2 linked regions of the Macaca fascicularis genome follow. The protein of the gene in region 2 purifies or fractionates together with the protein of the main gene of each other region. This does not show direct contact. Links are inferred from orthologs where the notes say so. Each region holds a gene or a part of one and is shown on either strand. Other genes may lie near its edges.

The links.
Region 1: the proteins of MTHFD2 (region 2) and HRAS purify together in Homo sapiens (co-immunoprecipitation; 4 studies listed by BioGRID and IntAct, with this or other methods). This does not show direct contact. The link is inferred for Macaca fascicularis from reciprocal best matches to the Homo sapiens genes MTHFD2 and HRAS.

The regions. Positions count from the first base shown.
Region 1 is NC_088388.1:422,413-437,692, forward strand, and holds HRAS (GTPase HRas), read right to left. Parts: upstream 13,888-15,280; 5' UTR 13,471-13,887; exon of another isoform or gene 13,455-13,470; intron 11,859-13,454; exon of another isoform or gene 11,714-11,858; intron 10,677-11,713; 5' UTR 10,627-10,676; coding exon 10,516-10,626; intron 10,233-10,515; coding exon 10,054-10,232; intron 9,903-10,053; coding exon 9,743-9,902; intron 9,648-9,742; exon of another isoform or gene 9,566-9,647; intron 9,045-9,565; coding exon 8,925-9,044; 3' UTR 8,920-8,924; intron 8,812-8,919; 3' UTR 8,527-8,811; downstream 1-8,526. UniProt on the Homo sapiens protein: Involved in the activation of Ras protein signal transduction. Ras proteins bind GDP/GTP and possess intrinsic GTPase activity.
Region 2 is NC_088387.1:47,734,689-47,750,607, forward strand, and holds the end of MTHFD2 (bifunctional methylenetetrahydrofolate dehydrogenase/cyclohydrolase, mitochondrial), read right to left. Parts: intron 13,349-15,919; coding exon 13,164-13,348; intron 11,053-13,163; coding exon 10,930-11,052; intron 10,152-10,929; coding exon 9,999-10,151; intron 9,070-9,998; coding exon 8,962-9,069; intron 7,537-8,961; coding exon 7,444-7,536; intron 6,710-7,443; coding exon 6,584-6,709; intron 4,006-6,583; coding exon 3,842-4,005; 3' UTR 2,790-3,841; downstream 1-2,789. UniProt on the Homo sapiens protein: Although its dehydrogenase activity is NAD-specific, it can also utilize NADP at a reduced efficiency.

The sequences.
Region 1 (15,280 bases), on a different chromosome or scaffold from region 2:
ATAATAAATAAAATAAAAATAAAACTACATGATCTGAAGAAAAAAATTTAAGAGACCTAAATAAATGGAGAGACATACCACATTCTTAGATGGAGACATTATATCATACAGGTATCAGTTCTCAGTAATTGATCTATGGATTCATGGCAATTCCAATCAAAGTCCCAGCAGGACTTTCTGTAGATATAGACAAACTGATTCTAAATGTACCACGCATGGAAAAAAGAAAGAAGACTCACATAACCCAATGTTACGCTGACTCTGGAGTGACAGCGTGAAGCTAGCTTGGTGTTGGAGAAGGGGCAGACACACACCAAAGGAAGGTGACTTAGGTCATGGATTACTGACCAAGGTACACAAGCAATTCAATAAAGGAGGATCTTTTCAACAAGCAGCGTGGGAACAACCGTACATTCTTATGCAGAAAAAATGAATCTTGACCTAAACCTCATAACTTAGACCTATGATCCATTTTGAGACCATCTTGTGTAAGTATAAAATATAAAAATTGGTGGGGCATAGTGGCTCATGCCTGTAATCCCAGCACTCTGGGAGGCCAAGGTGGGTGGATCACAAGGTCAGGAGATCAGGACCATCCTGGCCAACATGGTGAAACCCTATCTCTACTAAAATACAAAAACAAAAATTAGCTGGGCGTGGTGGTGTGTGCCTGTAGTCCCAGCTACTCAGGAAGCTGAGGCAGGGGAATCGCTTGAACCCGGGAGGTGGAGGTTGCAGTGATCTGAGATCTTGCCACTGCACTCCAGCCTAGCGACAGAGCTGCGGCAGGCAAATCACCTGACGTTGGGAGTTTGAGACCAGCCTGGCCAACATGGCAAAACCCTGTCTCCACTAAAAATATAAAAATCAGCCGGGCTGGGCGCGGTGGCTCACGCCTGTAATCCCAGCACTTTGGGAGGCCGAGGTGGGTGGATCACCTGAGGTCAGGAGTTTAAGACCAGCCTGGCCAACATGGAGAAACCCTGTCTCTACTAAAAATACAAAAGTTAGCTGGGTGTGGTGGCGAGCGCCTGTAATCTCAGCTACTTGAGAGAATGAGGTAAGAGAATCAGAGGTTGCAGTGAGCTGAGATCACTCCACTGCACTCCAGCCTGGGAGACAGAGTAAGACTCCATCTTAAAAAGGAAAAAAAAATTTTATATATGTATGTATATGTGTGTATATATGTATGTGTATATATGCGTGTATATGTGTGTATATATGCATGTATATATGTATATGTATATATATGTACATATGTGTATATAGATGCGTGTGTGTATGTATATGTGTATACTGTATATATGTGTGTGTATATATGTATATGACTTGGGTTTTTCCTTTGTTCAAACAGAGACAGGATCTTGCTATGTTGCCCATGCTGGTCTCAAACTCCTGGCCTCAAGTGATCCTGCTGCCTCAGACTCCCAAGTAGCTGGGATTACAGGTGTGAGCCACTGCACCCAGCTAACTTTATTTTAGAGATGGGGTCTCCTGTGTTACCCAGGCTGGTCTGGAACCCCTGGGCTCACACAATCCTCCTGCCTTGGCCTCCCAATGTGCAGGGATTATAGGTGTGAGCCAACAAGCCCAGCCAATTTACAATTTTTACATAACAACATAGGAGAAGGTGGGCACAGTGGCTCAAGCCTATAATCCCAGCACTTTGGGAATCTAAGGTGGGCAGATCATTTGAGGTCAGGAGTTCGAGACCAGCCTGGCCAACATGGTGAAACCCCGTCTTTGTATCATCTACCAAAAATAGGGGAAAAAAATTTAGCTGGGTGCAGTGGCACACACCTATGGTCCTAGCTACTCGCTTGAGCCTGGGAGGCAAAGGTTGCAGTCAGCCAAGATTGCACCACTGTACTCCAGCCTGGGCAACAGAACAAGACCCCGTTTGAAAAATAAAACAACAACCAAAAAACCTGACACATTGGACTTCATTAAAATTTAACTTTTTGTCCTGTGAAAGGCCTTAATAAAAGAAAGAAAAGAACTACAGATATGGAAAAATATTTTTTTTCTTTTGAGATGGAATTTCACTGTTGTCACCCAGGCTGGAGTGCAGTGACACAATCTCAGCTCACTGCAACCTCCCCTCTTGGGTTCAAGCAACTCTCCTGCCTCAGCCTCCCAAGTATCTGGGATTACAGGTGCCCACGACCACGTCCAGCTAACTTTTATGTTTTTAATACAGACAGAATTTCACCATGTTGGCCAGGCTGGTCTTGAACTCCTGACCTCAGGTGATCCACCCACCTTGGCCTCCCAACGTGCTGGGATTATAGGCCTGAGCCACTGCGCCTGGCCAACGGGAGAATGTTCTCAAATCACACCTCTGACAAGGACTCATTCAGAATATGTAAAGAAGTGTTGGCCAGGCACAGTGGTTCACACCTCTAATCCCAGCAGTTTGGGAGGCCAAGGCGGGTGGGTCACTTGAGGTCAGGAGTTTGAGACCAGCCTGGCCAGTATGGCGAAACCCCATCTCTACAAAAAATAGAAAAATAAGCCAGGTGTGGTGCGTGCCTGTCGTCCCAGCTACTCAGGAGGCTGAGACATGAGAATCGCTTGAACCCGTGAGGCAGAGGTTGTAGTGAGCTGAGATCGCGCCACTGCACTCCAGCCTGGGTGACAGAAGTGACAGCGCGAGACCCTGTCTCAAAAAAAAAAAAAAAAGAATCTCAAAAACATAACCAAATAAAAAACCAGTTTCAAAAATGAACAAAAGGCTGGGTGAAGTGGCTCATACCTGTAATCTCAACACTAAGGCTGAGGCAGAAGGATCACTTGAGGCCAGGAGTTTGAGACCAGCCTGGCCAACACAGTGAGACCTGGTCTGTAGAAAAAATAAACAAACATTTAGCCAGGCATGCTGGTGCACGCTGTAGTCCCAGCTACTCAGGAGACTGAAGCAGAAGGACCACTTAGGCCAGGGAGGTCGAGGCTGCAGTGAGCTACCATCACACCACTGCACTCCAGCCTGGGGGACAGAGCCAGACCCTGTCTCCAATAAATAAATAAATAGGCCAGATATGATGGCTCACACCTGTAATCCTAGCACTATGGGAGGCCAAGGCACATGGATCACACTGAGCTCGAGGCTCAGGAGTTCAAGACCAGCCTGGACAACATGGCGAGACCACGTCTCTAGGGAAAAAAAAAAAAAATTTTAAATTAGCCTGGGAGGTCGAGGTTGCTGTGAGCCATGATCACTGCACTCCAGCCTGTCCGATATAAATAAAATGAAATAATAAAAAATAGGCCAGGCGGGTGGCTCATACCTGTAATCCCGTCATGATCCTTCCCTTTGGGAGGCCAAGGCAGGCAGATCACCTGAGGTCAGGAGTTCAAGACCAGTTTGGGCAACGTGGTGAAACCCCGTCTCTAATAAAAGTACAAAAAATTAGCCAGGCGTGGTGGCGGATGCCTGTAGTCCCAGCTACTCGGGAGGCTGAGGCAGGAGAATCGCTTGAACCTGTGAGGCGGAGGCTACAGTGAGCCAAGATGTGCGCCACTGCACTCTAGCCTGGGCAACAGTGAGACTCCATCTCAAAAATAATAATGAAATAAAAACAAACAAAACCAAAAATAAGATGAAGACTTGAACAAAAACTTCAGCAAAGGGCACCTGCAGCACACACAGCAGTGCTAAGGAGATGCCCAGGCTGTGGCCACCAGCAGACTGCAAACTGAAACCATAATGAGATCCCGCAACACGCCCAAGATGAAAATCACGGCGGCAGGACTCCGATGCGTCCTGGCTGAGAAGGCTGAGAAGGCAAGCGGCCTGGCAAGCTGGAGAGTCATGTGCAGAGTCAGGCACGCACCACAGGACCCAGCAACCCTGCCCCTGGTGTCTTCCCTAACAAACTGAAAGTCTATGTCCTCAGGGGCACGGTACGCAAATGCCTATGGAGGCTCCAGTCGTAACAGGCAAGACCTGGCAGCGAACTAAATATTCTTTAGCAGGTAAACAACCTGTGCTACATCCCTACAAAGAAATACTACTCAGTACGGGAGGCTGAGGCAGGAGAATGGCGTAAACCCGGGAGGCGGAGCTTGCAGTGAGCAGAGATCCGGCCACTGCACTCCAGCCTGGGTGACAGAGCGAGACTCCGTCTCAAAAAAAAAAAAAAAAGAAAAGAAATACTACTCAGTAGTTGGGTGCGGTGGCTCACACCTGTAATCCCAGCACTTCGGGAGGCCAAGGCGGGTGGATCACCTGAGGTCAGGAGTTCGAGACCAACCTGGCCAACATGGCAAAACCCCGTCTCTACTAAAAATACAAAAATTAGCCGGGTATGGTGGCAGGTGCCTGTAGTCCCAGCTACTGGGGAGGCTGAGACAGGAGAATCACTTGAACCTGGGAGGCGGAGGTTGCAGTGAACCGAGATTGTACCACTGCACTCCAGCCTGCGCAACAAAGCGAGACTCTGTCTCAAAAAAAATTTTTTTTTGCAATGTGTCATGCGCCATTGCTAACCACAGGCACCATGCACAGTGAACTCCGGGACTCACGCATCTTCCCAGACTGAAATCTGTTACCAGTTGAACAGCAGCTCCCAGCTCCGCTCCCCAGCCCCTGACCACGGCCACCCTACTTTCTGCTTCTGAGTTTGACTATTGCCTAACAGCAGAGGAATTGTGCAGAATTTCTCGCTTAGCAAAACGGTAGGGTAAGGTTTTTGTTTGGTTTGTTTTGTTTTTGAGATGGAGTCTCGCTGTGTCGCTCAGGCTGGAGTGCAGGGGAACCATCTCGGCTCACTGCAAACTGTGCCTCCCAGGTTCACGCCATTCTCCTGCCTCAGTCTGCCCAGTAGCTGGGACTACAGGCGCCCGCCACTACGCCCAGTTAATTTTTGTATTTTTAGTAGAGACGGGGTTTCACTGTGTTAGCCAGGATGGTCTTCATCTCCTGACCTCATGATCCGCCCGCCTCAGCCTCCCAAAGTGCTGGGATTACAGGCGTGAGCCACCGCGCCTGGCCTGTTTTTTGTTTTTGAGACAAGTCTTGCTTTGTTGCCCAGGCTGGAGTGCAGTGGTGCTATCTCAGCTCACGGCAACCTCCACCTACCGGGTTCAAGCGATTCCCCTGCCTCAGCCTCCCGAGTAGCTGGGATTATAGGCGCCTGCTACCACGCCCGGCTAATTTTCCTATTTTTATTAGAGACGGGGTTTCACCATGATGGCCAGGCTGGTCTTGAACTCCCGACCTCAGGTGATTCACTCACCTCCGCCTTCCAAAGTGCTGGGATTGCAGGTGTGAGCCACCGCGCCCGGCCTGAAACCCTGCATCTTTATCCAGGCCTCCCTGGATGGATGTTGGGAGAGTTTACGCGTGGCTGTGGGGGATGGCTGTGGCAGGCTCTCGGCTATCAGAGGGCTCCATTGCGAGGAGGCAGCTGGTGGCGAATCCTGAGCAGCGATGTGATCCGAGGGGCAGGCGGCAGGTGGGACGGAAGCTGATGTCACACAGATGAGTCCCCCACCTCCCGCCAGGCTTCCTCCACCCTCTTGGCAGCCCAGCAGGGTCTGTCAATCAGTGGGACCTGGTCAGCGGGCGGCTGGGGGACCTCAGGCAGGGGGCTTGTCCTTGGGACCTTGCAGCCTCCAGCAAGGGGGACATTCACGGCACCCAGGAGGGCTCCTCCAGAAGGTGAGACACGGGCACTGAACCCAGCCCTTTACACAAGACCTGAGTCCACCGAGGGAGGGGGCCAGCCCCCTCCCCGCATCTGCATCCCCATGACCACCCCAGGTGGAGAGGGCTGAGTGTGGTGCCCCTGCGGATGCTCTGACGATCGCCTCAGGCCACGGGGGTGACAGTGACTTAGACCTGTGTGCACGTGAGTGGGACAGCCAGGCCTAGCTGGAGAACACACACACACACACGTTCACCCACATACACGTGCACTCACACGCTGACAGTTCAGGGGGTGGACACTGACTCCAGGCCCGGTTGACCTGGGCAGGGCGCTGTTGTGACATCTGCAGCCACCCCACAATGTCACCGGTGCCAAGTGCCCAGCATGTGTGGAGTAGGTGGGGACACGGCGGGTGTCCGAGAGGGGCTCTGCATCCAAAGGCAAGAGGTGGGTCTCAGCACAGCTGCCCTACCCCATGGTATGGCGACGGTCACTACCAGGTGGCCTGCGCTGGCCTCCATGTGGCTGCCAAGGGTCATCCCTGAGCACTCAGCGGGTGCCCGTTCCACGCGGACTGTGCAAACGACTGTGTCATTCACCTCATGGCAACCCCATGGGGTGGATACGAACGCACGCATTTGAGAAGTGACATCCGAGGTCAGGGGGGAGGAGACAGACCCAACCTTGGCCGTGCTCTCCAGCCCTGCCCTGCGCTGGACCCAACCTAACCTCTGCAGCCTCCCTGCCCTGGACACAAATCTGGCTGAGACCCCAGACCCTGATGGGGCAGAGCCTGGCACTGCAAGAGCCGCCAGGATGGGCCCCCTGGGTGTGGGCAGAGGGTGGTCCTCAGTCCAGGTTTTTGCCAGAAGATGGGTCCCTGCAGGAGGGGGTCTCAGCAGCTCAGACTTCAGATGCAGTCACTGTTGCTTGCTGGGGGACGGCCAGACACGGAGCCCTCTGTTCTCCGGCAGTTGTGGACAATGAGAGAGCCGTGGATTTGCGGGTCAGGGTGCAGGGACGGGCTCTCCCCACACAGCCCTCCCACAGTCTTGTTCTCTGGGATTGGCAATTTGCAGGGGCGTCCCCAGCATCAGACCGGGGGGGGGGCTACACAGGGACCCAGATCCATGGGGCCTAGCCTCCGCAGGTAACCCCAGACATCAAGACCCTCCTTAAGGGGATGAGCTGGCTCTCCGCTGCCCATCAGCGCAGCTCCGGAATGCCAGGGGACAGGGCTGGAGAGCACGGCCAAGGCAATGTCCGCTCCCACAAGGGGGCCTGGTCCTCCCACACACTGGCCTGGCCAGGCTGTCCCCGAGGCCAAGGCCTAGTGGCATGAGGGGGCTTCGTGGAGCCCAGGGCAGTGGGCTGCTCTCTGGAGTCCCCAGGACCCTGGCTGTGGCTGGCCAGAGTCCCTGGACCCTGGGTATCAGGACAGACCCCAGGTTGTCCAGTGGTTCCCGTGCTGGAACTCCTGTCGAAGCCACCCAGGGACCTGGTGCTTTCCACAGTTCAGCATGGAGCAGCGGTGCTGGGCCCTGTCCCCTCCGCGTCTGTCCTGGATACCCCAGGACCACAGCACGGGTCAAGCCCTGCAACCCCAGTGGGGACCTGACACCAGGCCCTGCCCAGCCCCATAATGACCAAGAGGCAGGTCCAGAGACACCCCCCTGCACAGGGTCACCTGCATCTGACCCCCTCGGCAGGCAGTGACCGGCACGGTGTGGAAGGAGCCAGGGCAGTACCTGGCAGCCCCAAAGGGCTCCTGGCCTCAGGAAGTCTGTATCGATGGGGAAGCTGGTCACTTGGAGGCTGCTGGAGAGAAGGGCAAGTGTGGCATCTCCTGGACAGAAGGGTGAGTGTGGCGTCCCTGCAGCCCTGGCCGGCCAGCAGCACGCCCTGCAGTCTCTTGCCCAACCTCTGCGACGGGGACCCCTGACAGGGCACAAGTCCCCATCCCAGAGAGGCCTGGCCCAGCTTCAACCCGAGCCCTGGGAGGGGAGGGGCACCAGGGGTGCCGTGGGCCTCCAGCAGCAGCCAAAATGACCACACGGGTGACTGAGCACTCTGTGGCTGTGGCCAGACATAGAACTTGGCCCAAGGCAGGGCAAGCCCCTTGGAGCAGAGTGGATGGCTGAGCCTGTGCGTACCCAGCAAGGCCGAACCAGTGACGCTACCAGGCTCCAAGAGCAGCCAGCCATGAGGCAGGGGCGGGGCGAGGGTGGGGTGAGGGCAGGGGCGGGGGAGGGCGGGGCGAGAGCAGGCGGACCAGCTGCCAACCTCGTCCACTCCAGGAGGCAGGGATGGCCAGGCTCCCACGCCCTAGTGGCCGCCACCCGACCACCAATAAGGCAGAGGCCTGAGGCCAGTCGGTGCTGGAGCCCTAATTCCAAGGTCCACAGACTGCTCCAGGCCAGAGAGATGAAGAAAACTGGGTATGTGAAGGCCCAGGAGGCAGAGTCCCTATGTCTGCCATTCTTGGCAGGTGCATTTCACCATGGGAAAAAGTCAGGAAAAGCGACGCCTCTCACTGCCAAGGCGGCTCCCAGGTAGAGACCAGAGCCGCCGGCACAGATCCCCAACCCCTGAAATCACCTCCCTCTGGAGAACCGTGATGCCCTCCTAGTTGGTAGCAGCGCAGTAAGCTCTCCTTATGATCTGCCTGCTTGTCCAGAGCTCTCTGCCGGAATCCATGGACACTCTGGGGCAGGCAGGAGGAGACAGCAGCACAGCCCAGACCCCTGACCAGCCTCTCCCAACCTCCCCCTCCCAAAGGCTGTGGAGAGCCCAAGGCTGGACAGGCCCGAGGTTCCGACATACCTCACGCCAGGCCACACGTGCACCGTGTCCCACCCTCAGCCAAAATCCAAGGTCAAGACCATCCAATAATTTACTGCGATCCCATCTGCGCCTGACAAGGGCCCACAGAGGCCTGGGAGGGGAGCTAAGGGCTGGGGTTCTGGTAGCATCTGGGATGCTCAAGACAGTCTGTGCAAAGCATCCCTGGGAGGGTCTGCGGTCACTTCGGCCCATGGTCCCTGGGTGGCTGGGCTCCAGCAGCCCTTCCTTCCTTCCTTGCTTCCGTCCGTCCTTCCTCCTCCTTCCTTCCGTCTGCACCTCCTCCCTGCATCCGGCACCTCCATGTCCTGAGCTTGTGCTGGGCGGGGCACAAAAGAGGCTGCTGATCGCAGGCGAGGAGACCGGCAGGGGTGGGGAGCCCGGGGTCATCCGGTGGGCGTGGCGGCCGCCCTGGGAGCCCCCTCACCTGCGTCAGGAGAGCACACACTTGCAGCTCATGCAGCCGGGGCCACTCTCATCAGGAGGGTTCAGCTTCCGCAGCTTATGCTGCCGAATCTCACGCACCAATGTGTAAAAGGCATCCTCTACTCCCTGGAAAAGGAGAAATGGGATCAGGAGGGACAGGCCTGTGGCCCCCTGCCTAGGTGAGGGGTTCCCTGCTGTGCGATCAAGCCGTGCCTGGCCCAAGGCTCCCGACTCCACCAGCCACTTCCCCAGGCCCACCACACACACAGGAAGCTGGGCTCTGGTCATCTCGAAGAGCCCAGGGCCACCTGCACCACGCTACAGCAGCCCCTCAAAGGTCAGGGTGGCCCAGGACCCTCCTGAACTCCAGATCTGGCCAGGGTTTGACCACCCTGCACCCAGCTCTCATCTGAGCTATGGCCAGTGTCCCCAGCAGCCTCACTAAGACTCAGAACCAACAGGTGCCCGTGGGACACTCTGGGGACAAGAGGGGCTGGGCCCCAGGGTCACCGCTCCGGCCTGGCTCAGGGCAGCTCTCCCCAAGGACCTCCGCCTTCCCCGGAGCTGTGTCGGCCCAGGACTGCAGGGCGTGAGCCCAGACCCCGGCCCTTGCCTCCCTCACTGCCCTGCCGTCCCGGGAGACTTACAGCGCGAGGGGCCGCTGGGTCACATGGGTCCCGGGGGGTCCCAGAGGGTCCCGGAGCTGGAGCCAGAGCCAGAGCGGCTGCCCTGTGTCAAGGGAGAGGGGTGAGTGAGTGCTGCTCCCTGGCTGGGGCGGGGCGGGGCGAGTCCCTGGCTAGCTGTGGGCTGGAGAGCTGCCTCACCTGTCGCGTCTTGGCCGAGGTCTCAATGTAGGGGATACCATAGCTTCGGGCGAGGTCCTGAGCCTGCCGAGACTCCACGGTGCGTGCAGCCAGGTCACACTTGTTCCCCACCAGCACCATGGGCACGTCGTCTGAGTCCTTCACCCGCTTGATCTGCTCCCTGGGAGGAAAAGTGAGAGCTGGCTATAGGGGCTGCAGGCACGACTGCATCCAGGACATGCACAGAGAGGACAGGAGGCCCCTGTCTGGGCACAGCCGGCCTGACCCCACTTGTGCCTCATGGGCTCCCGGGCCAGCCTCAAGGGGTTCACCTGTACTGGTGGATGTCCTCAAAGGACTTGGTGTTGTTGATGGCAAACACACACAGGAAGCCTTCCCCCGTGCGCATGTACTGGTCCCGCATGGCGCTGTACTCCTCTTGGCCGGCTGTGTCCAGGATGTCCAACAGGCACGTCTCCCCATCAATGACCACCTGTTTCCGGTAGGAGTCCTGCAGGAGGACAGAGCTCAGGGACCCCTCAGGACCCTCCATGCGGGGAGTTCACAATGCCAGCCTCTCCCTGTACCTCTCATGCCCCTCTCATGCCCCCTCATGCCCCTCTCATGCCCCCTCTCCTGGGGTGCTGAGACGAGGGGCTCCCCTTCTCTGGAGGAAGCAGGAGACAGGCCCAGAGCACCATGCAGGGCCAGGGGCCGCAGCCACCCCTATCCTGGCTGTGTCCTGGGCTCGCCCACAGCAGCTGCCGGGACCTGGACGGCGGCGCCAGGCTCACCTCTATCGTGGGGTCGTATTCGTCCACGAAGTGGTTCTGGATCAGCTGGATGGTCAGCGCACTCTTGCCCACACCGCCGGCGCCCACCACCACGAGCTTATATTCCGTCATTGCTCCTCAGGGGCCTGCGGCCCGGGGTCCTACAGGGTCTCCTGCCCCACCTGCCAAGGATGGTCCTGCTCAGCCAGGCCCAGGCCCCACAGGGCAGCTGCTGGCAGAGCCATCTGAAGAGCAAACCCATAGCGGGCCCTGGGTCCCAACGCCAGGCAGCAAGGACTGCAGCGTGCCTACCTGTGCAGCTGCAAACCAGCGCGGGGGAGGGCTGTCGCCTCGCCCCCACTTGCTGTTAAGGACCCAGTGAGGGGAAAAGGGAGCCAGCCTCCAAAGGCAGGGCTGACAGCTGAGCGCTCTCAACCAAATTAGAAGCTGCTGGGTCGGCAGAAAGACTAAAGGGAGGCGCCCGAGGGCTGAGGTTACCGTCCTCCTAAACAGGTCTGGCCACGGCGGAGCGCGCCACGGCGTGCCCGGGCAGGCCAGTGCCAGCCTGCAGGCCCCGTGGCGCTGGTGCCTCCGACAAGTATTTGCTGAGCGCCTACTGCGTGCTAGGCGCCGCTGAGGGGAGGGCAGACCCGGGCAGCGCCCCGCGCCCCCGGCGGGGAACCGGGGGCATCTTTCAGCCACAGAAAGCTGGAAAAGACAGAGGGGCTCCTGGGAAGCAGGGGCTGAGCCACAGGAAGGGGCCGAGAGGCGGCGCGGGAGACCCGGAGAGGGGAAGGGCCCTGGGGCTGAGGCCCCCGGCCTCGTCCGCGACCTGTGATGCTGAATCGGGGGTGCCCGGGCGTGCCGTGGCCGCGGCCGCCTCCGCCCAGACGCGCCTGGTTATGAGGGCGCCGGGCCCGAGGCTCCCGGGGACGCCGGCGTGAGGACCGTGCCCAGAGCGAGGCCACGGGCGGGGCCCGGATTCCCGCAGGCCCCAGGGACTAAGGGGCCTCAGCCCGCCCCCGCCAGCCGCAGCCCCCGACGCCCGCTCACCTGTGCCTGGGGGCCCCGCCCGGCCCGGCCCGGCCCCACCCACCCACTACCGCCGCCGCAGCCGCTCACGCCCGCCGGTCCCGCGCCCCCGGCCCGCGCCGCGCGTATGGCTGCCGCCTGGGGGCGGGGAGGGCGCGCGGCCCGGCCGACCCCGGCCCGCACTCACCGCTCAGTGGCGCGACTGCCCCCGGGGCCGGGGCCGAGGCCAGGGGGGGGCGGGGGCGGGGGCGCGCGGTTCTCCCCGCGCATGGGCTCCGTCCGCGGCGGGTGCGGCTGGGGCTGCAGGCGCAGGGAGCGGGCGGCGGAGACTCGGCCGGGCTCGCGCACGCCCCACCCCGCGCCCGTCCGTCAGCCCTGCGCGACCTACCATTGGCCTCGCTACACCAGGCCCCGCCCCGCCCCGGTTGGCTGAGCGGCCCGTCTGTCAGGAGCCGCGGTCGGGCAGGGCTTCCGGGAGCAACGCGGGAGGCGGAGCCAGAAGGGCCGCGGCCTCGGGGGGTTGGGCTAGGCCGGCGAGCGGAGGCAAGCTCGGGGTTGCTCAAGGAGGGCGAGGGAGCAGGTGTCTGGGGGCCTGCGGCGGCATATCCGAGCAGGGCCGTGGACTCTCCCGGGAACAGGCCGGCGAGAGAACCCGACTCAGCGGCGCCCGTGCACTCGAGGCCCTCCCTGCGTCCGCAGCGCGGCGTCGCCCACCGCGGAGGTCCCGGGGCTCCGGCTGAGGAAAGGCTGGGATCCGTCGGGACCAAGGCGGGCCGCTCGGAGCTGGGGGCCCCCGGGTGGCCGCGGGGTCCGGTTGCCCGGCTCCCCTTCCGCGCAGGTGGAGTGGCCCCGCACCCGGACGGTGCGCACCCCGCCTCCTCCGCGCACCCCACCTACCACACGCACCCCAGCTCCCCTACTCCCACCTCAGCCCACCCCGAGGACGCCTTGCAGCTCCGGTGGGGTTTCGAGCGGCGGGCGCAGCCGTGCTCCCTGGGGCCAGGCGTGAGAACGCCCCCTCCACCACTTCTCTTACTTGGGCCTGCGTGGCAGGCGACCCTGCCCGCTCAGTCCCCCCAGACTTGAGGTTCCAACCATGCAGAAGCTCAGCGTGGTGCAGTTAAACGGTACCTACAGGTTGCCACAGGAGAGCGAAGTGCCCAGGGCTCACCCCAAGCACAAAGACCACATCCTAGCTCTTTCAAACCCCAAAAGACGTGTTTTTTTTTTTTTTTTTAACATTTTTTTAAATTGCAAAGGAATCAGAAATACATTCTCATTAAAAAGCAAAAGGGCCATCCTGGCTGACACGGTGAAACCCCGTCTCTACTAAAAAATACAAAAAACTAGCCGGGCGAGGTGGCGGGCGCCTGTAGTCCCAGCTACTTGGGAGGCTGAGGCAGGAGAATGGCGTGAACCCGGGAGGCGGAGCTTGCAGTGAGCTGAGATCCGGCCACTGCACTCCAGCCTGGGTGGCAGAGCGAGACTCCGTCTAAAAAAAAAAAAAAAAAAAAAAAAAAAAAAGCAAAAGGGGCCGGCCGCGGTGGCTCACGCCTATAATCCCAGCACTTTGGGAGGCCTAGGCCGGTGGATTACTTGAGGTCAGGAGTTCAAGACCGGCCTGGCCAACATGATGAAATCCCGTCTCTACTAAAAATGCAAAAAATTAGTCGGCTGCAGTGGCGCGAGCCTGTAGGCCCAACTACTCAGGAGGCTGAGGCAGGAGAATCGCTGGAACCCGGGTGGCGAATGTTGCGGTGAGCCGAGATCGCGCCACTGCACTCCGGCCTGGGTGACAGAGCGCAACTTCGTCTCAAAAAAAAGGCGTTTAAAAGAAAAAAAGGCGTTTTACGGTCAGGCAAACCCTGCCTCTGCCCAACCCAGTGCCCGCCCCGCCGCCACGCCCTCCTGCGCCGGTCGCCGCTGACCCGGGGCTCCACCCACGTGCGGTCCCGGGGGTCCCGCCTGCCGTCCATCCACCGCGCGGTCGCAGTCAGAGCCCGGCTCGGGGCGGACGCGCATGAACGCAGGTGAGAGGCGGCGACTGAACGGCGGGCGGCGGCGTGTCCCACGGGCCGGGCACTCGGGCGCGCTTCGGCATCCGGTCTGTGTTTCCTGGTCCTCCGGGGCGCTTGCCCCGGTGCTTCCTTTTGCTGTCGGCCTCACTTCCAATCGAAGGTCAGGGCGTCAGGCCTCGACCCCAGGGGCGACCCTTCCACGTGGGAAAGGTGGGCGGGAGCCTCCAGCAGAGACCGCCCTTGCCGGCCCCGCGTGGGAAGCGCCGGGATCGCGAGGAAACGCGACACGTGCACCGCGACGGCCCGGGCACGGAGCCGCAGGGAGCTGGCACCTGACGCGCCTGCGCCCACCCGACTTGGTGGCGCGTCACCTCCCCCGGGATCGCCCACCCAAGTGCCAACTCACGTGGCCCCGCCCTAGCGACCGTTGCTAAGGGGCGTGGCTCAGCCCCTCAGAACCCGAGCCTCCTGCGGCTTATAAATATTTGCGTATTCAAATGAGGACCCGCCCACGTTGCCATGGGACCCAGGCCGCAACCCCGCAGCCGGAAGAACAGCCTGGAGTAGGAGACAGCGCCTGGCGGCGGAGGGCGCCCAGGGCCGAGCTGCCAGGGCCGGACACCTGGGCTGAGCCCTCAGGTGAGAGCCGAGCGCACCCTTGGGGTGGGAGCCACAGGCCTCGCCGTATGCCTGGTGGCAGGAGGGAGCCTGCGCCGAGGCGAGGGCGCGGGGACTAAGCAGCACAGCCAACGGGGACCCAGTGGAGGCCCCGCACGTCAGATCTGGTCCCCTGGGGACCCTTGCCTCCACCACCCCCTGGCCCTGCACTGAAGGGGCTCCCTGTCAGGAGGCAGGAGGGGCCCCAAGCCTTGCCCCTGAGGGAGATGCAGAGGCAAGGACCCAGGGTGCTTGGAGTTCCAGGGTGGGGCTCAGCAGGGGAGCGGGCTCTGCCCTCCCAGCGTCCATGGTGAAGGGGCAAGGGCTGCAGGGGACCAGAGGTGATGAGCTACCCACCAGGGAATGGCACTAGCTGGGGTGTGGAGACAGAATTCCTCCAGTTTCCAATTTGGGGAGCATGGGGGCTCGCAGAGGGGACACAGGGTAGGAGCAGGACTGCGAAGTGTGCGGATGGGTTCAGGCCTGGGCGAGAACACCAGGAGCAGTGTCTGAGGTGGGAGTCCAGTGGGGGCTTGGGACTCCACAGCCTCCAACCCCTGGTCCTTGCACCCCTAGGCCTTGGGGCTCAGACCAGCCTGATACTCGGGCTCTTGGGCACAGAGGAGACAAGGGTGGCTGACTCAGCCCTTAGTGCCACCCATAGATGTCCTGGGGCTGCGCATGACCCGGCCAGCTCACGTACTCCATGAGGCTCAAGACTGGCAGGCCTGGGATGGAGGTGGCCAGAGTCTTTGGGGGAACGCAGTGGTGGGGTCCTGCTGTGAGGCCTGGGGCCTTCCACCATCTGGAGAAAGGCAGGCAGTGGGGGAGATTCTGGCTGGAAACTCCATGAGACTCTATTTTGAGCTTATCTTCTTTGATTCTTGGTGCATGGTCACCTTCCAGACCAGGCCACTGAGGCACCCGGAGCCTGAGCCGCGGCCCTGCTCCAACACTCCCGCCCACCACCTCTGTCAACGGCCGGCCAACTCGCCTGGCGCAGGGGCAGCTGTAGACAGGATGGAGAGGATACATCTTCAATGTCCATATGTGGTCAACAGATGAAAGCCACGGCCAGA
Region 2 (15,919 bases):
AGTTTGAACCAGCTGGGCACAGTGGCACACACCTATAATCCTAGTACTGTGGGAGGCCGAGGCAGGCGAATCGCCTGAGCTCAGGAGTTCAAGACCAGCCTAGGCAACACGGTGAAACCCCATCTCTACTAAAATACAAAAAATTAGCTGGGCGTGGTGGCATGTGCTTGTAGTCCCAGCTATTAGGGAGGCTGAGGCAAGAGAATCGCTTGAACCTGGGAGGCAGAAGTTGCAGTGAGCCGAGATGGTGCCACTGCACTCCAGCCTGGGCAACAGAGAGAGACTCCGTCTCTAAACAAACAAAAAGTTTGAACCATCTGTATGGGACTTGCTCCAGAAGTGTGACTGGGGCTTTCCCAGATTGAAAAGCCAGTTCCAAAACTCTGTTAATGAAAGAACCAATCCATCTGAGTGGATAAATGTTTCTAAAATAAAATAGTTCTTGTTAAAGTGAAATTTGAAACCACACGTCAAATCAACAAAATGATCATTTAAATTAGTATCACTGGTTTTTCATACCTGGAATCACATTTCATTATACATTTGGGTGGGTCTTTCCTGCAAATTTTCAACATTTATTCCCAAAGTCAAACTCCCATTTATGTGAATACAGGTTAGACAGAGGTAATATCACATTTTACATTATAACTTCGCAATATTAATCAATCTAGTACTTTAAAGGAATGATTGAAAACTATTTGGGAAGATAAAAACCAGTTTCAGTGAAGCAAACCTATTCCTCATGAAACTTAAGATCAGTCATTTTACCTTCAGTCCACATTTAATGAACACCAACCATGTTTATTTAATGCCTACTATGACCCCGACAGCCACAGTGCATCTGACACTTACTTTCTCCAAAACAACTATGATTCGAACCTTGAGTAAATCACTTTGGTTACTATATTTGCTCAAGATGACAAATGCAGGTGCTTTCTTTTTTAAAGAAAAATGACACTAGATCATTAACAGATCAGGACAGGTAACTGGCCTCTGTAATCCCGAGTCTAGTGGAGTGCCCGGTCCACAGAAAGCTCTCAATAAGTGTTTGATTACATTTAATCTCAGAGCTCCCTTCCAAGGGATACTGCCAAGAGGTAAAGCTCTAAACCTCTACTACTGAGAGCAGAATTTCTTAGCTAATCCAGAACCATCTCCTTTGCTTAAGTATAAATTCTTGCCAGCACAGTGGCTCACACCTGTAATCCCGCTGCTTGGGAGGCTGAGGTTGGGGGATCAGTAGAGGTCAGGAGGTCAAGACCAGCCTGGGCAACATAGTGAGACCCATCTCTAAACAAATGTTTAAAAATTAGCCAGGCATGCTGGCACACGCCTGTAGTCCCAGCCATTTTGGAGGCTGAGGCAGGACGATCCTTTAAGCCCAGGAGTTCAAGGCTGCAGTGAATTATGATCATGCCACCGCACTCCAGCCAAGGAGACAGCTGGAACCCATGTCTTATAAATAATAATTAATGTTTCTAAAAAGTATTTTATTATCATCCGCTCCAATCCTGGGGAAGCTAACAATCCACCCTTAACATTTCAGTTTTAAAACCTGGCTGATTTGGAATAGAACTTTGTCCAAATTAAATTGTAGAAATGCTATGGATTCAAGAGTAAACCTGCTTGATTAATCAGACAAGCTGGAAAATTACTGTTAATTTCTTTGTTGTAAATTGATCACTGTAATTTTACCCTACATGTCATTTATATTTTGTATATACATGAACATTTTAATCTCCATAGCTTTTAACAGGTTGGCATAATACTTCTCCATGCAGTCAGTCAGTCATTTGTTCCACTTGTAACTGTAATTCAATAAAATTTAATGCTGTCTGGTCATCTAGCTCCATGTTTAATAATCTAGGTAAGTAAGTAGGCATGGCTTATAGACATGAGCTATACCTCACTTACAAAAACATCTCCAACAAACTACCGAAACTTCTTTCAACTCCAGAGAACTATGAAAAGAATAACGCCAGCTGGCAGAAGAACAAGGATGGAGGTAGGTCAACTCAACTGTTCTCTTTCTGCCTCAAGCTGCCTAGAGCAGGAGCTGCTTCTGCTTGCCTGAAAGCCAAAAGCCAAAATAGACAAGAAACCTACCTCAAGTATTTAACAGATTAAGCTCCTAGCTCGGCACAATCTGTTGGGATATAAGACTATAGGACAGGCCCAGTGCAGTGGCTCACACCTGTAATCCTAGCATTTTGGGAGGCCGAGGCAGGTGGATCACTTGAGGTCAGGAATTTGAGATCAGCCTGGTCAACGTGATGAAACCCCGTCTCACTAAAAACACAAAAATTAGCAGGGCACAGTGGCATGCACCTGTAATCCCAGCTACTCAGGAGGGTGAGGCACAAGAATTGTTTGAACCCAAGAGGCAGAGGTTGCAGTGACCCGAGATCATGCCACTACACTCCAGCCTGGGCAACAGAGCGAGACTCAGTCTCAAAAAAAAAAAAAAAGGCTGGAGAACGAGGCTGGTTTCGCCAAAGCTCTTTAAACCTCTGTTTGGGCGTGGGTGGCCCAGGCCTGTAATCCCAGCCCTCTGGGAGGCTGAGGCAAGAGGACTGATTGCTTGAGGCCAGGAGTTCAATATCAGCCCAGGCAACATAGCAAGACCCCATCTCTACCAAAAAAAAAAAAAAAAAAAAAAAAAGAAAGAAAAAAAAATTATCTATTTAAGGCTATAGGATTAAGTGTTACTGAATATAGGAATATCTACATTGATTAAATGAGAAAAAAACTCCGGTTCAGTCTCAACTAAGAGTCATAGGAAGACAGAATTTCAGAAATTCATACCACACCAGACAGATGTGTTTTATTAAAAAAGAAAAAAAAAAACCTTTAATCAGAAAATCTAATTAAATTCAATATTAACTCAAACTCTTAAAAAATTTATGGAAAAGTCAACAGGGTACATACATCACAGAAAAACAGGCAGTTGCTGACAGTTCTTTGGTGGAAAAGTAAGTTGCATACTTACCCAAGCTGCCCAAATGATTATCAAGCTAAGTTTGTTTTTCAAAAATAGGTTTTAAGATACACCAAAGAAACTATACAAAAATTTAACAATGAAGTTAAAGTATATAGCAAAAGCCAAATATGACAACACACATGAATAATGTATAAAAGAAGCCTTTCAATCCTAGAAAACTAAAATGGGGAGAACTTACTGAAGGGTAACATACATAAAATGAGTACTAATAGCAAGGAATAATCCTAAACATTTTCCCAATGACTAAACCTCAAAAAGACAGCTTAGGAAAACGATTAACATGTAGTTTTTCTTTTTTCCTAGCCAATTCAGTTCTACTTAGATAAATCTGGTTACCAATCAATACACATATAAATTAGAGTAATTTTTTTTCTGCTCAATTACTACCATTTTTTCTTTTTCACCTTTTCCCTAATTTTCTCTAGCAATACTTTTCCTTTGGTTTGATCAGTTGAACTCAAAAGGTTTGGTACCTAAAATGAGTATTCAACTGTTATTAGAATAGCACTTGGGAAATGCAATCCTAGAAAAGGCAAATGTGTAACCAAGTTTGACAAAGGGAAGCGTCCATTCTCCATATGGTAATGTCTCCCACATTAATCACTAGGTTAATGGCTGCTCCTGGCTAGATCACAGGACCCTGCATGATACTGGAATGCTCCCTGGTGAGGTACTGCAGAGGTACGTGCAGAAACACCCACCCATTTAAGCTTTCAATAAATACAAGGCATCATTTTAAACCATTTCAGTAGAATAAATAAAAAATATTGCATTTCTATTGGCCTGCTTTTCTTCTTGAGCTGGCCTGGAGTGCTGTTTGTGACATAGAAGACACAATAGTTAATTAGTGGCTACTCCAAGCTCTTTAGACTTCAGCACTTCTCGCTCTTCAAGCCTCAGCACCTTTTTTGCAGCAATAATGGTATTCTTCATTAGCATTGCCACTGTCATGGGGCCAACACCTCCAGGAACTGGAGTGATATACCCGGCTTTTTGTCTGACTCCTACATAGAAACAAGACAGGCAGGCTGCTTTAGTTATGGCAAAGGACATGTGTGTACTTTAATATATTATGAAACAAGCATGCAAGGAAGGAAAAAGTAACATACATAAGCATAAAACTCAAAAATCACATCTACATCATTCAAGGTTTTGTGAATACACTAGTAAAATAACATGCACATACAGAATTGTTAAAGGAATATTTATACATCTAAGTAACCTATAAAGAAATCTATTAAACATCTAGTAGGTTAACTGCGTGGGAGTTGTAAGTATAATAATAATAAGCATTACCTCAATAGCTGCCTACAGCATTTTATTAAGTATAATTTGTCCAAAGCAGAAAGCACAGTAATTTTTTAAAAGTGAGAAGTAAAAAAAAAAAAAAAAATTACCCTAATGTTAAAGTGAAAATCCTTACATACCTAGGCATGGGTTTGACTGCTTTAATAAAAACAGAAAGCTAGGAATAGGATTATCAGCATAGGCTGGGTACAGTGGTTCATGCCTGTAACCCCAGCACTTTGGGGGACTGAGGCAGAGTGTGAGGTGGGGGAGATTGTTTGAGGCCAGGAGTTTGAAACCAGCCTAGGCAACATGGTGAAACCCCATCTCTACAAAAAATACAAAAATTAGCCAAGCAAGGTGACATGTGCCTATAGTACCAGCTACTCAGGAGGCTGAGGCAGGAGAACTGCTTAAGCCCAGGAGGCAGAGGCTGCAGTGAGCTGAGATCATGCTACTGTACTCCAGCCTGGGCAAAAGAGAGGGACCCTGTCTCAAAAAAAAAAAAAAAAAAAAAAAAGGAAAGAAAAAAAAAGGATTATCAGCATATATTCAGATAAACATTCTATCTTAAGAACTGAAGGGAGAGGCCAGGTGCAGTGGCTCACACCTGTAATCCTAGCACTTTGAGAGGCTGAGGCAGGCAGATCACTTAAGGCCAGGAGTTCAAGACCAACCTGGTCAACAGAGCCAAACTCATCTCTACTGAAAATACAAAAAATTAGCCGGCGTGGTGGCACATGCCTGTAATCCTAGCTGCTCGGGTGGCTAAGGCAGGAGAATCACTTGAACCTGGGAAGCAGAGGTTGCAGTGAGCAGAAATCACGCCACTGTACTACAGCCTGGGCAACAGAGTGAGACTGCCTCTTAAAAAAATAACTGAAAAGAGACATCTACTAGTATATTCTAGTATTTCAGGGGTATGGTTTTTTCCTGGACCATTTTAACTTGCTAGGCCTGTGATGTCTCAGTGTGAAAATGGGAACTCTCAACACTTTTTGGGAGACTCCATGGTTTATAAAAATCACTTCATCAAATTTTCAAACTTGTTAAAAGTCAAGAAATTGCTTGAATTATGAAGTAAGTTCTAAGGAAAAAAACAATTCCCTGAAAAGTTTATAACTGCTCTCCATCACTATGATGAAACAACTAAAATAATTCTAGAATGGCTGTAATTTTAAAAAGGTTTCTCTAATTCTTTTTTTTTTTTTTTTTTTTTGAGACGGAGTCTCGCTCTGTCACCCAGGCTGGAGTGCAGTGGCCAGATCTCAGCTCACTGCAAGCTCCGCCTCCCGGGTTCACGCCATTCTCCTGCCTCAGCCTCCCGAGTAGCTGGGACTACAGGCGCCCACACCTCGCCCGGCTAGTTTTTTGTATTTTTTAGTAGAGACGGGGTTTCACCGTGTTAGCCAGGATGGTCTCGATCTCCTGACCTCGTGATCCACCCGCCTCGGCCTCCCAAAGTGCTGGGATTACAGGCTTGAGCCACCGCGCCCGGCCGGTTTCTCTAATTCTTATGAAAAGCATACTAAGGCCAGGTGCAGTGGCTCACACCTGTAATCCCAGCACTTTGGAAGGCCAAGGTGGGAGGATCACTTGAGGAGTGATCAGACCAGCGTGGCCAACATGGCGAAACCCCATCTCTACCAAAAATACAAAAAATTAGGTGGGCGTGGTGGCACATGCTTGTAATCCTGGCTACTGGGGAGGCTTGAAAGCACAAGAATTGCTTGAAGCTGTGAGGTGGAGGTTGCAGTGAGCCGAGATGGTGCCACTGCACTCCAGCCTGGGTGACAGAATGAGACTGTTTTTAAAAAAAGAAGAAAGAAAAAGAGAGACAGAAAGAAGAAAAAAGAAAGAAAGGAAAGGAAAGGAAGGAAGGAAGGAAGAGACAGAGAGAGAAAGAAAGAAAGAAAGAAAGAAAGAAAGAAAGAAAAAAAGGAAAAGGAAAGAAGGGAGGGAGGGAGGAGGAAAGAGAAAGAGAGAAAGAAGAGGAAGATGGATGGATGGAGGGAGGGAGGGAGGGAGGGAAACGCATACGGACTAGGTGCAGTGACTCATACCTATAATCCCAACACTTTGGGAGTCCCAGCTACTCTGGAGGCTGAGGCAGAAGAATCGCCTGAACCTGGGAGGCAGAGGTTGCAGTGAGCCAAGATCACACCACTGCACTCCAGCCTGGGCAACAGAGTGAGACTCCCATCTCAAAAAAAAAAAGTAAATAATCTATTCTAAATGTCCATGAAAGGTAGTACTTATTGATTTCATTTTTAAAAATAAAATTTTACCATTTACCTTCAAAATCCACATCTCCAACCAACTTGGGTTTGGCAGTTACAGGATCATGAACTCTATTTATTCCCACATCAATGACTGCTGCTCCTTCCTTGATCATATCTGCTGTGATCAGATTTGGAATACCTGGAAATGGAGAAAGGAAAAAAAGCTTAGTACTGAAAACAGTCTACCTGTCAGACTGTTGTCTAATTTCAATTTCAAGAGACCTAGAAGAACTAATTAACATGTTTTATTTTATTTATTTATTTTTTTGAGACGGAGTCTCACGCTGTTGCCCAGGCTGGAGTGCAGTGGCGCGATCTCGGCTCACTGCAAGCTCCGCCTCCCGGGTTCCCGCCATTCTCCTGCCTCAGCCTCCTGAGTAGCTGGGACTACAGGCGCCCGCCACCGCGCCCGGCTAATTTTTTGTATTTTTAGTAGAGACGGGGTTTCACTGTGGTCTCGATCTCCTGACCTTGTGATCCGCCCGCCTCGGCCTCCCAAAGTGCTGGGATTACAGGCTTGAGCCACCGCGCCCGGCCCAAATTAACATGTTTTATTAAAACCTGTTAAAAATATTAACTAAGGAACCATTTACTTTTATTATTTATTTTGGTTCCTGACAGGAAACAAAAGGAACCGTTTGAACTTTATACAGTAAATATTAATATAAATATTTTGAAGCTTTAGGAATAACATTCACCCATCCAGACTATAATGGAATGCTAGAAACCAGTATTCCAATCACAACTCTATCCTCATCTTTGTAGGCAGCTCAAAGAATCATCATGAGGGGAAGGATGAATAGTAGCTAGGCAGGCGAATTCTAAGATGAGGGGTACAACCTCCCCTTCCCTCCATTCACCTTGTGTTCTTACCTGCAGCAGATATTACAATATCTGCAAGAATTGTATGTTTCTTCAACTGCTCTTTGGGAGTATATCGATGAGATATTGTAACAGTGGCATCACCTAGAAAGAAAACAATAGATGTCTTGATTTCTGACACAAAGCTGGGACTGGATTAGGTCTCAACTAGTCAAGTCACTGTAGAAACTCAACAATAGTGCGGTGGCTCACGCCTGTAATCCCAGCACTTTGGGAGGTCAAGGTGGGCAGATCATGAGGTCAGGAGTTCAAGGCCAACCTGGCCAACATAGTGAAACCCCATCTCTACTAAAAATACAAAAATTAGCTGGGTGTGGTGGTGCATGGCTGTAATCACAGCTTTCTTGGGAGGCTGAGGCACGAGAATCGCTTGAACCTGGGAGGTGGAGGTTACAGTGAGCCAAGATTGTGCCACTGCACTCCAGCCTGGGCAACAGAGCAAGACTCCCTCTCCAAAAACAAACAAACAAAAAACTGACTTAATGGCTTGTGCCATATTTTCTGGACAGCTAATTGTCATTTACTTTTTTAAAATTAATACCTAATTTCATATAGCTTTAAACCATTGGTCCTAGCTCGACTGTTTTTTTTTTTTTTGAGACGGAGTCTCGCTGTGTCGCCCAGGCTGGAGTGCAGTGGCGCGATCTCGGCTCACTGCAAGCTCCGCCTCCCGGGTTCACACCATTCTCCCGCCTCAGCCTCCGAGTAGCTGGGACTACAGGCGCCCGCCACCACGCCCGGCTAGTTTTTTGTATTTTTAGTAGAGACGGGGTTTCACCATGTTAGCCAGGATGGTCTCGATCTCCTGACCTCGTGATCCACCCGCCTCGGCCTCCCAAAGTGCTGGGATTACAGGCTTGAGTCACTGCGCCCGGCAGCTCGACTGTTTTGAGTCATATAATTAAATTTATTCATCGTATTTTTAAAGCCTTTCAAGAATTTTACCTTTTCTAAGCAAAATATCACTAGAATTACTCAAGGTTGTTTTAAGTATGTTGAAGATTGTTGAAAGTATAGTTTTGCCATTATTTCTGATATAATCATGTAAGGTCATTATTACAATAATTATGTGATAACAGATTCACGAGGCTTTACCTTAGAACCAATTAACAGAACTTGACAGGACACATTACAGTCATATCAATTCAATCCTTTGCAACGGCTTAAGATTTTTTCCACTAAATGACACAGTATCTTTGAATAAGAACTGCTCCTTAGCTCCAGCTATCAAAGCTATAGCTGAAATTTTCTAATTGCCTATAATCATGCTTATACTCAAAACTTAAGTTTATTTCTGAAGCTAGTTACATGATACATGAATAATAAAGAAACTCAGGCGACACTGGGTGCAGCTTCTCTACAAAGGTTACTCCCTGAATTATCTGTTAACAAAATTTCAACAAATACAAAGTATAACACAGTTAATACTTCCAAAAATGCACAGGATGGCTTCTGAGAGTTCTTACATGGGGAAAAAGGGACAGTGTTCCCTGAAAGCAATTTCCTTACCTCCGGGACGTTCATGCGCCCCATCTGTGTGCAGTAACATTGCAATGGGCATTCCAACATTTTTTGACCTTCCAGCCACAACCACATTCTTCCCTAAGGTTGGAATACCTATAAAAATATATGTGTTTACATTAAAAGTAGTGCCAGTCCAAAGCAAAACAAAGTCAGATGGCCTAGAACATGAAGCCAATTTTGATAGTGAAGTCACTGAGCTTACTGCCTCATCAGTCAACTGGAGCTGTAACTTGCTACACATAAGGGCTAAAAGAAAACAGGAGAAAGCATACTATAGGCTACAAAATGTTACAGGAATGTGCACTGTCACCACTATTAAATCTTAAATTTCCTTCACTGAGGGCTGGGGTGGTGGCTCACACCTGTAATCCCAGCAGGAGGTTGGATTGCTTGAGGCCAGGGAGGCTAAGGTAGGAGAACTGCCTGAGGCCAGGAGTTTGAGACCAGCCTGGCAGCATGGTGAAACCTTTGACTCTTAAAGAAAAGATTAAAAAGAAAAAAAGAAAGTTTCCCTCACCGAGGCTTCCAGATTAAAAGCAAAAACTGTCATAGGCAACTGTTAAGGGCAGGCATGATGGATCATGCCTCTAATCCTAGTACTTTGGGAGGTGAGGGGGCGGATCACTTGAGGTTAGTTCGAGACCAGCTTGGCCAATGTGGTGAAACCTGTCTCTACTAGAAATAAAAAAATTAGCTGGGCATGGTGGCGTGTGCCTGTAGTCCCAGCTACTCAGGAGGCTGAGGCACAAGAATCACTTGAACCCAGGAGGCGGAGGCTGCAATGAGCCAAGATTGCGCCTCTGCACTCCAGCCTGGGTCACAGAGCAAGACCCTGTCTCAAAACAAACAAACAAACAAAAAAAAAACCAAAAAAAAAAAACTGTTAAGAGAGGTAAACTCTGGGGAGTATGACTAGAGGATATGGGGTGGGGTTTCCACTCTTTGGGACTGTATTATGAGTTTTTACCATTTGCAGGTACTTTTATAATATTAACAGACATACAATTCTGGGATATACCTACCAGTTCGCTTAATTATTTCCCAAACACCCCATGGGGTAGCCGGTAACATGGAATACTGGTCCAAACACATTCGCCCTACATTAATTACATGAAAGCCATCAACATCCTTGTCTGGAGAAACAGCATTGCAGATCCTTCTCTCATCAATATGCTCTGAAAAAGAAATCGGCAGTTGCCTTAAATCACCACCTCACAGTCAGCACTGCCTGACTCCAGCTTATCTGCTTCCTCAAGGAAATCCATTCTTCTACAGCTTGCCTCCGAGATGTACTTCATCTGCATGGAAGGAACTCGCATAAGCAAAGCCAAACACCAATAGCAAAGCCAGTATCATCTCTCAGTTGCTTCCCTCCACTGTCCTTCATATCAAGACCCCAATACTAAATCAAGGGGTAATGGGTATTCTGAGTTGGTCTGTCCCATTCTAATAAAATATTCACTCTTTTGCGTTTACTTTGCCTTTAAGCCAAATCCACATGAAGAGCCAGGTGTATAAAATAACAAGGCCTTTTTACTCCTCAGAAATCATTTTAGGTAGGGCATGGTAGTTCATGCCTGTAATTCCAGCACTTGGGAAGCACGGAGTCCAAGACCAGCCCAGGCAACACAGAAAGACTTCCATTTCTAGGAAAAATATAAAAAGTAGCTGGGCATGGTGGCACACACCTATAGTCCTAGCTATGTGGGAGGCTGAGGCAGGAGGATCCCTTGAACCCAGGAGCTTGAGCATGCAATAAGCTATGATTGTACCATTGCACTCCAGCCTGGGTGACAGAGTGAGACAAGGAAAGGAGAGGGAGAGGGAGGGGGAGGGAGAGGCAGAGAGGGAGGGAGAGGCAGAGAGGGAGGGAGAGGAAGAGAGGGAGGGAGAGGGGGAGGGGGAGGAGCAGAAGCAGCAGCAATCATTTAAATGGTAGAGTCCAAAACTCACCTGGAAGAGGCAGCTGAACAAGGAGGCCATCTACATTATCATCATTATTCAGTTTATTGATTAAATTCAACAATTCTTCCTCTGAAATTGAAGCTGGTTTCACAATTGTCTCACTGTTTATTCCTATTATAGGAAATTTTGAGGTTAAAAAAATTTTTGAGGCATTTAATGAGCACTGCTATGTTGCCTACCATACTTGGCTACCATACAGGTTTTGTATCATCACACCCATCCCTAGAAGCTGAAGTAGCTCAAGGAACCTAAAAAAGTAACTTCACAAATATATACACTAGAGAATACTAGCTTAACACATCCTGTATACCTCATTCTATGCAATCCTCATTAACCTTATTTTACAGACAGACTGAGGCTCAGAGAGATTTAAAAATAAGCGAGCTAGGCCAGGCGCGTGGCTCATGCCTGTAATCCCAGCACTTTGGGAGGCCAAGACCGGCGGATCATGGGGTCAGGAGATGGAGACCATCCTGGCTAACACGGTGAAAACCCGTCTCTACTAAAAATACAAAACATTCGCCGGGCATGGTGGTGGGTGCCTGTAGTCCCAGCTACTCAGTAGGCTGAGGCAGGAGAATCGCTTGAACCTGGGAGGTGGGAGTTGCAGTGAGCTGAGATCTCACCACTGCATTCCAGCCGGCTCAACAGAGCAAGCAAGACTCATGTCTAAATAAATAACTAAATAAGCGAGCTGGCCGGGCGCGGTGGCTCAAGCCTGTAATCCCAGCACTTTGGGAGGCCGAGACAGGCGGATCACGAGGTCAGGAGATCGAGACCATCCTGGCTAACACGGTGAAACCCCATCTCTACTAAAAAATACAAAAAACTAGCCGGGCGAGGTGGTGGGCGCCTGTAGTCCCAGCTACTCGAGAGGCTGAGGCAGGAGAATGGCATAAACCCAGGAGGCGGAGCTTGCAGTGAGCTGAGATCCGGCCACTGCACTCCAGCCTGGGCCACAAAGCGAGACTCCGTCTCAAAAAAAATAAATAAATAAATAAAAAATAAAAATAAGCGAGCTAATAATACAGCCAGTCTTTCTGGTTTCAAAATCCATGCTCTTTTTTTCTGCACCACACTACCTCCCAATGTCTTAAAATGCCATGGCTTGGCCAGGCACAGTGGCTCACGCCTGTAATCCCAGCACTTTGGGAGGCCGAGGCGGGCGGATCACCTGAGGTCGGGGAGTTTGACACCAGCCTGACCAACAGGGAGAAACCCCATCTCAACTGAAAATACAAAATTGGCCAGGCATGGTGGCGCACGCCTGTAATCCCGGCTACTCGGGAGGCTGAGGCAGGAGGCGGAGGTTGTGGAGAGCTGAGACTGCGCCATTGTCCTCCGGCCTGGGCAACGAGAGAGAAACACCATCTCAAAAAAAAAAAAAAAAAGCCATGGCTTGCCATTTTCTAGAAGTTTCTAAAGGCTTTCCATTAAAAGAGCAGGAGGCCTCAATCCTCAATGGTAAAGAATAGAGGAAACCACGGGCTCACAGGCCAGTAACCCCTCCCAGCCATGCCAGTGGTTTCACAGCCCTTCAGAAGGAAAGGCCACCTGCTGCTCATGCTCAGACCACGGGCCCACAGATGGGCAGGCAGAGGCATATCTGAGTCTGCCCACCCACCTCTTGTCCACAGACACATAGTAATCTGTGGTACCATGAGGCCTAGAACACAAACCCCATCATCCAGACCCGAACTGCTTCTAAACTGCACGTTTGCCTTTAGAACCAATCGGTGAAGAACTTGAAAGCTCTTTCCCAGAAGTCAAGAGTCATTTCCTTCAAATCTATGACTGTGTTCCTGACCTCATCACTGAGATCTCCTAATACTGTATTGTTCAATCATGCCCCCTAAGCCTCTAAGGCTTTAAACTGCAAACACTCGAACACCTCTGCTGGAGACCCATTATTGCTCAAGGAAAGCAAATGTAAAATGTATTCAGGGTCACCTATCAAATGGAAAGACTAAGAACAGAACGTGCCTTATATTCTTTCCAGAAGCCACAGAGAATACCAACCAGTAAGTATCTCCTGTCCTAGTCTATAAACCCTGAAAGATACAGTCTGATTTCCTATGACAAAGTTTTGGGATACAGTTCAATCACATTAGCCTCCTCTGCTTGGGTTTCCTAATCAGAAAAAAGAAATCATAAATTACAATGGACTTTGCCTCATATAAACCTCAACTGAACAGCATTCGAGGTCTCAAAAGGACACATACCCACATCTGCAGCTGCCCTGGTTTTGTTGAGGACGTAGGAGTGACTTGCAGGATTCTCCCCAACCAGGATCACGCTCAGGTGTGGCCGCTTGTTGCCTGAGGCCACCCACTCTTCTACCTCCTGCCGCACTTCCTGCTTGATCTCCTGGGCCAGTTTCCTTCCAGAAATGACAACAGCTTCATTTCTGCAGAAGGCAACAGAGTCACAAAACCAAATAACTTGAATTTTTATAAAAACGAAAATTCTGCCAGGTGTAGTGGCTTATGCCCATAATCCCAGCACTTCAGGAGGCCAGGGCGGGAAGATGGCTTGAGCCCAGGAGTTTGAGACCAGGCTGGGCAACAAGGCAAAACCCCTGTCTCTGCTAAAGAAATAAATATATCCAGCTACATATGGAGGGGGATAAAGTTGATGAAGCTCAGAGTTTAAGTGACTGACAGCTAGTGCTTGGTCAAGCTGAGTCTCACATCAGTTTGGGCTCTTAACTGCTACACCACCCTGAGCCCTGATCATTACTAAGTTTTTTACAGTTTTAATTTGCAGTTGTGTGACCCGTCACCATGAGGTTAAATAGTTCTTCTTATCTGCTTATATGCCATTTGTAGTTCATGTTTTGCCCCTGTTGTTAGCAGCCAGGCATGTATTTCAAATCATTTCCCAGTCAATTGACTTCATTTTTATGGTGCTTTTAAATAGATAAATTATATTCTGTAGTTGAATAAACAAACAATATCAGGCCAGGCGTGGTGGCTCACATTTGTAATCCCAGCATTTTGGGAGGCTGAGGAGGGCAGATCACGAGGTAAGGAGTTTGAGACCAGCCTGGCCAACACAGTGAAACCTCGTCTCTACTAAAAATACAAAAATTAGTTGGGTGTGGTGGTGGACGCCTGTAATCCCAGCTACTCAGGGGGCTGAGGCAGGAGAATCACTTGAACCCGGGAGGCAGAGGTTGCAGTGAGCTGAGATTATGCCACTGCACTCCAGCCTGGGTGACAGAGCTAGACTCTGTCTCAAAAACAAACAAACAAACAATATACTGGACAAGTCAAACATCAAAATGAATACCACTCCCCGCAGTCCCTTCTGGGGAAGACTTTCCTGGTAAGAATAGGGGCAGGGCAGGGCAGGGGACTGGAGAAAGAGGAAGCTCCTTCTCACAGTTGGCAATGTGCTCTTCCCAGGGACCCCACCACATCATCCAAAGCTGACAGACCAGGAGTGAGTATCTGACGCCAAGGGCAACCAACAATCTCTAGGCTGCCCAGTGGTCCAGTTGGTGCAAAAGCTTAGCTCAACAGAGCAGTGAGAGTTAGCTGAACCAGTAAGAGCTCGTCCCTGAGGCAGTTCAAACTAGAACCACAGAACATAGACAGAAGAGACAGAATAGTCACACCAATGGGAGACAACAGGATAAGAAATCAAAAAACTGTTGCTGGGGTGGGGAGCAAGAAGAAAAATCAGGATCTAGAAGAACCTCCAGTTCCCAAAACCACGTTCAGCTGAGCGAAAGGCTGTGTCTTCCCAAAGCGAACTGCTTATGCAGCTCTTCCCGGGTTCCATGAAGCCCAAATATGGAACAGTCCCAGTTTTCCTATTTTCACACGTCCTTACAATAAAGTGCCCATTACTTAAAGATGAGCATCTGGCCCAGCGCGATGACTCATGCCTGTAATCCCAGCACTTTAGGAGACCGAGGCGGGTGGATTGCCTGAGGTCAGGACTTCGAGACCAGCCTGGTCAACATGGCGAAAACCCCTCTCTGCTAAAAATGCAAAAATTAGCTGGGCATGGTGGTGCATGCCTGTAATCCCAGCTACTCGGGAGGCTAAGGCAGGAGAATCGCATGAACCCAGGAGGCAGAGGTTACAGTGAGCTGATATCGCCCCACTGCACTCTAGCCTGGGCAACACAGGAAGACTCCATCTCAAAATAAAATAAAATAAAATATAAAAATAAAATAAAATAAAATGAGCATCTCTTCCGTAAGTAAAATGATCCCATTTGAAAAAGCCTTTCCCGGCCGGGCGCGGTGGCTCAAGCCTGTAATCCCAGCACTTTGGGAGGCCGAGACGGGCGGATCACGAGGTCAGGAGATCGAGACCATCCTGGCTAACACAATGAAACCCCGTCTCCACTAAAAATACAAAAAAATTAGCCGGGCGTGGTGGCGGCGCCTGTAGTCCCAGCTACTCGGGAGGCTGAGGCAGGAGAATGGCGGGAACCCGGGAGGCGGAGCTTGCAGTGAGCCGAGATCGCGCCACTGCACTCCAGCCTGGGCGACAGAGCGAGACTCCGCCTCAAAAAAAAAAAAGAAAAAGCCTTTCCCTTTAGATCTCTGTCCTTGCTGTCATGAAGACTGCTCTAACCTCAAGACCAACGAAGCAATCTCCTCTTTATTCTAAAACCTAACATCAAGGTACTGAATAACCTATAGGGTCAGATAAAATTAATTCTCAAGATAACTGCTAATTTATTTATTTATTTATTTTGAGACAAGAGTTTTGCTCTGTTGCCCAGGCTGGAGTGCAGTGGCATGATCTCAGCTCACTGCAGCCTCCCAGGTTTATGCAATTCTCCAGCTTCTGCCTCCTGAGTAGCTGAGAATACAGGCACCCACCACTGCACCCAGGCAGTAACTGCTAATTTAAATGGGATTTTAAAGCATTCACAATCTTTAGGCCTTCAATAAGTGCTTTTTATTGCATTATGATTAAATACCAACTTCAAACCAAATCTCAACATCTTAGATATA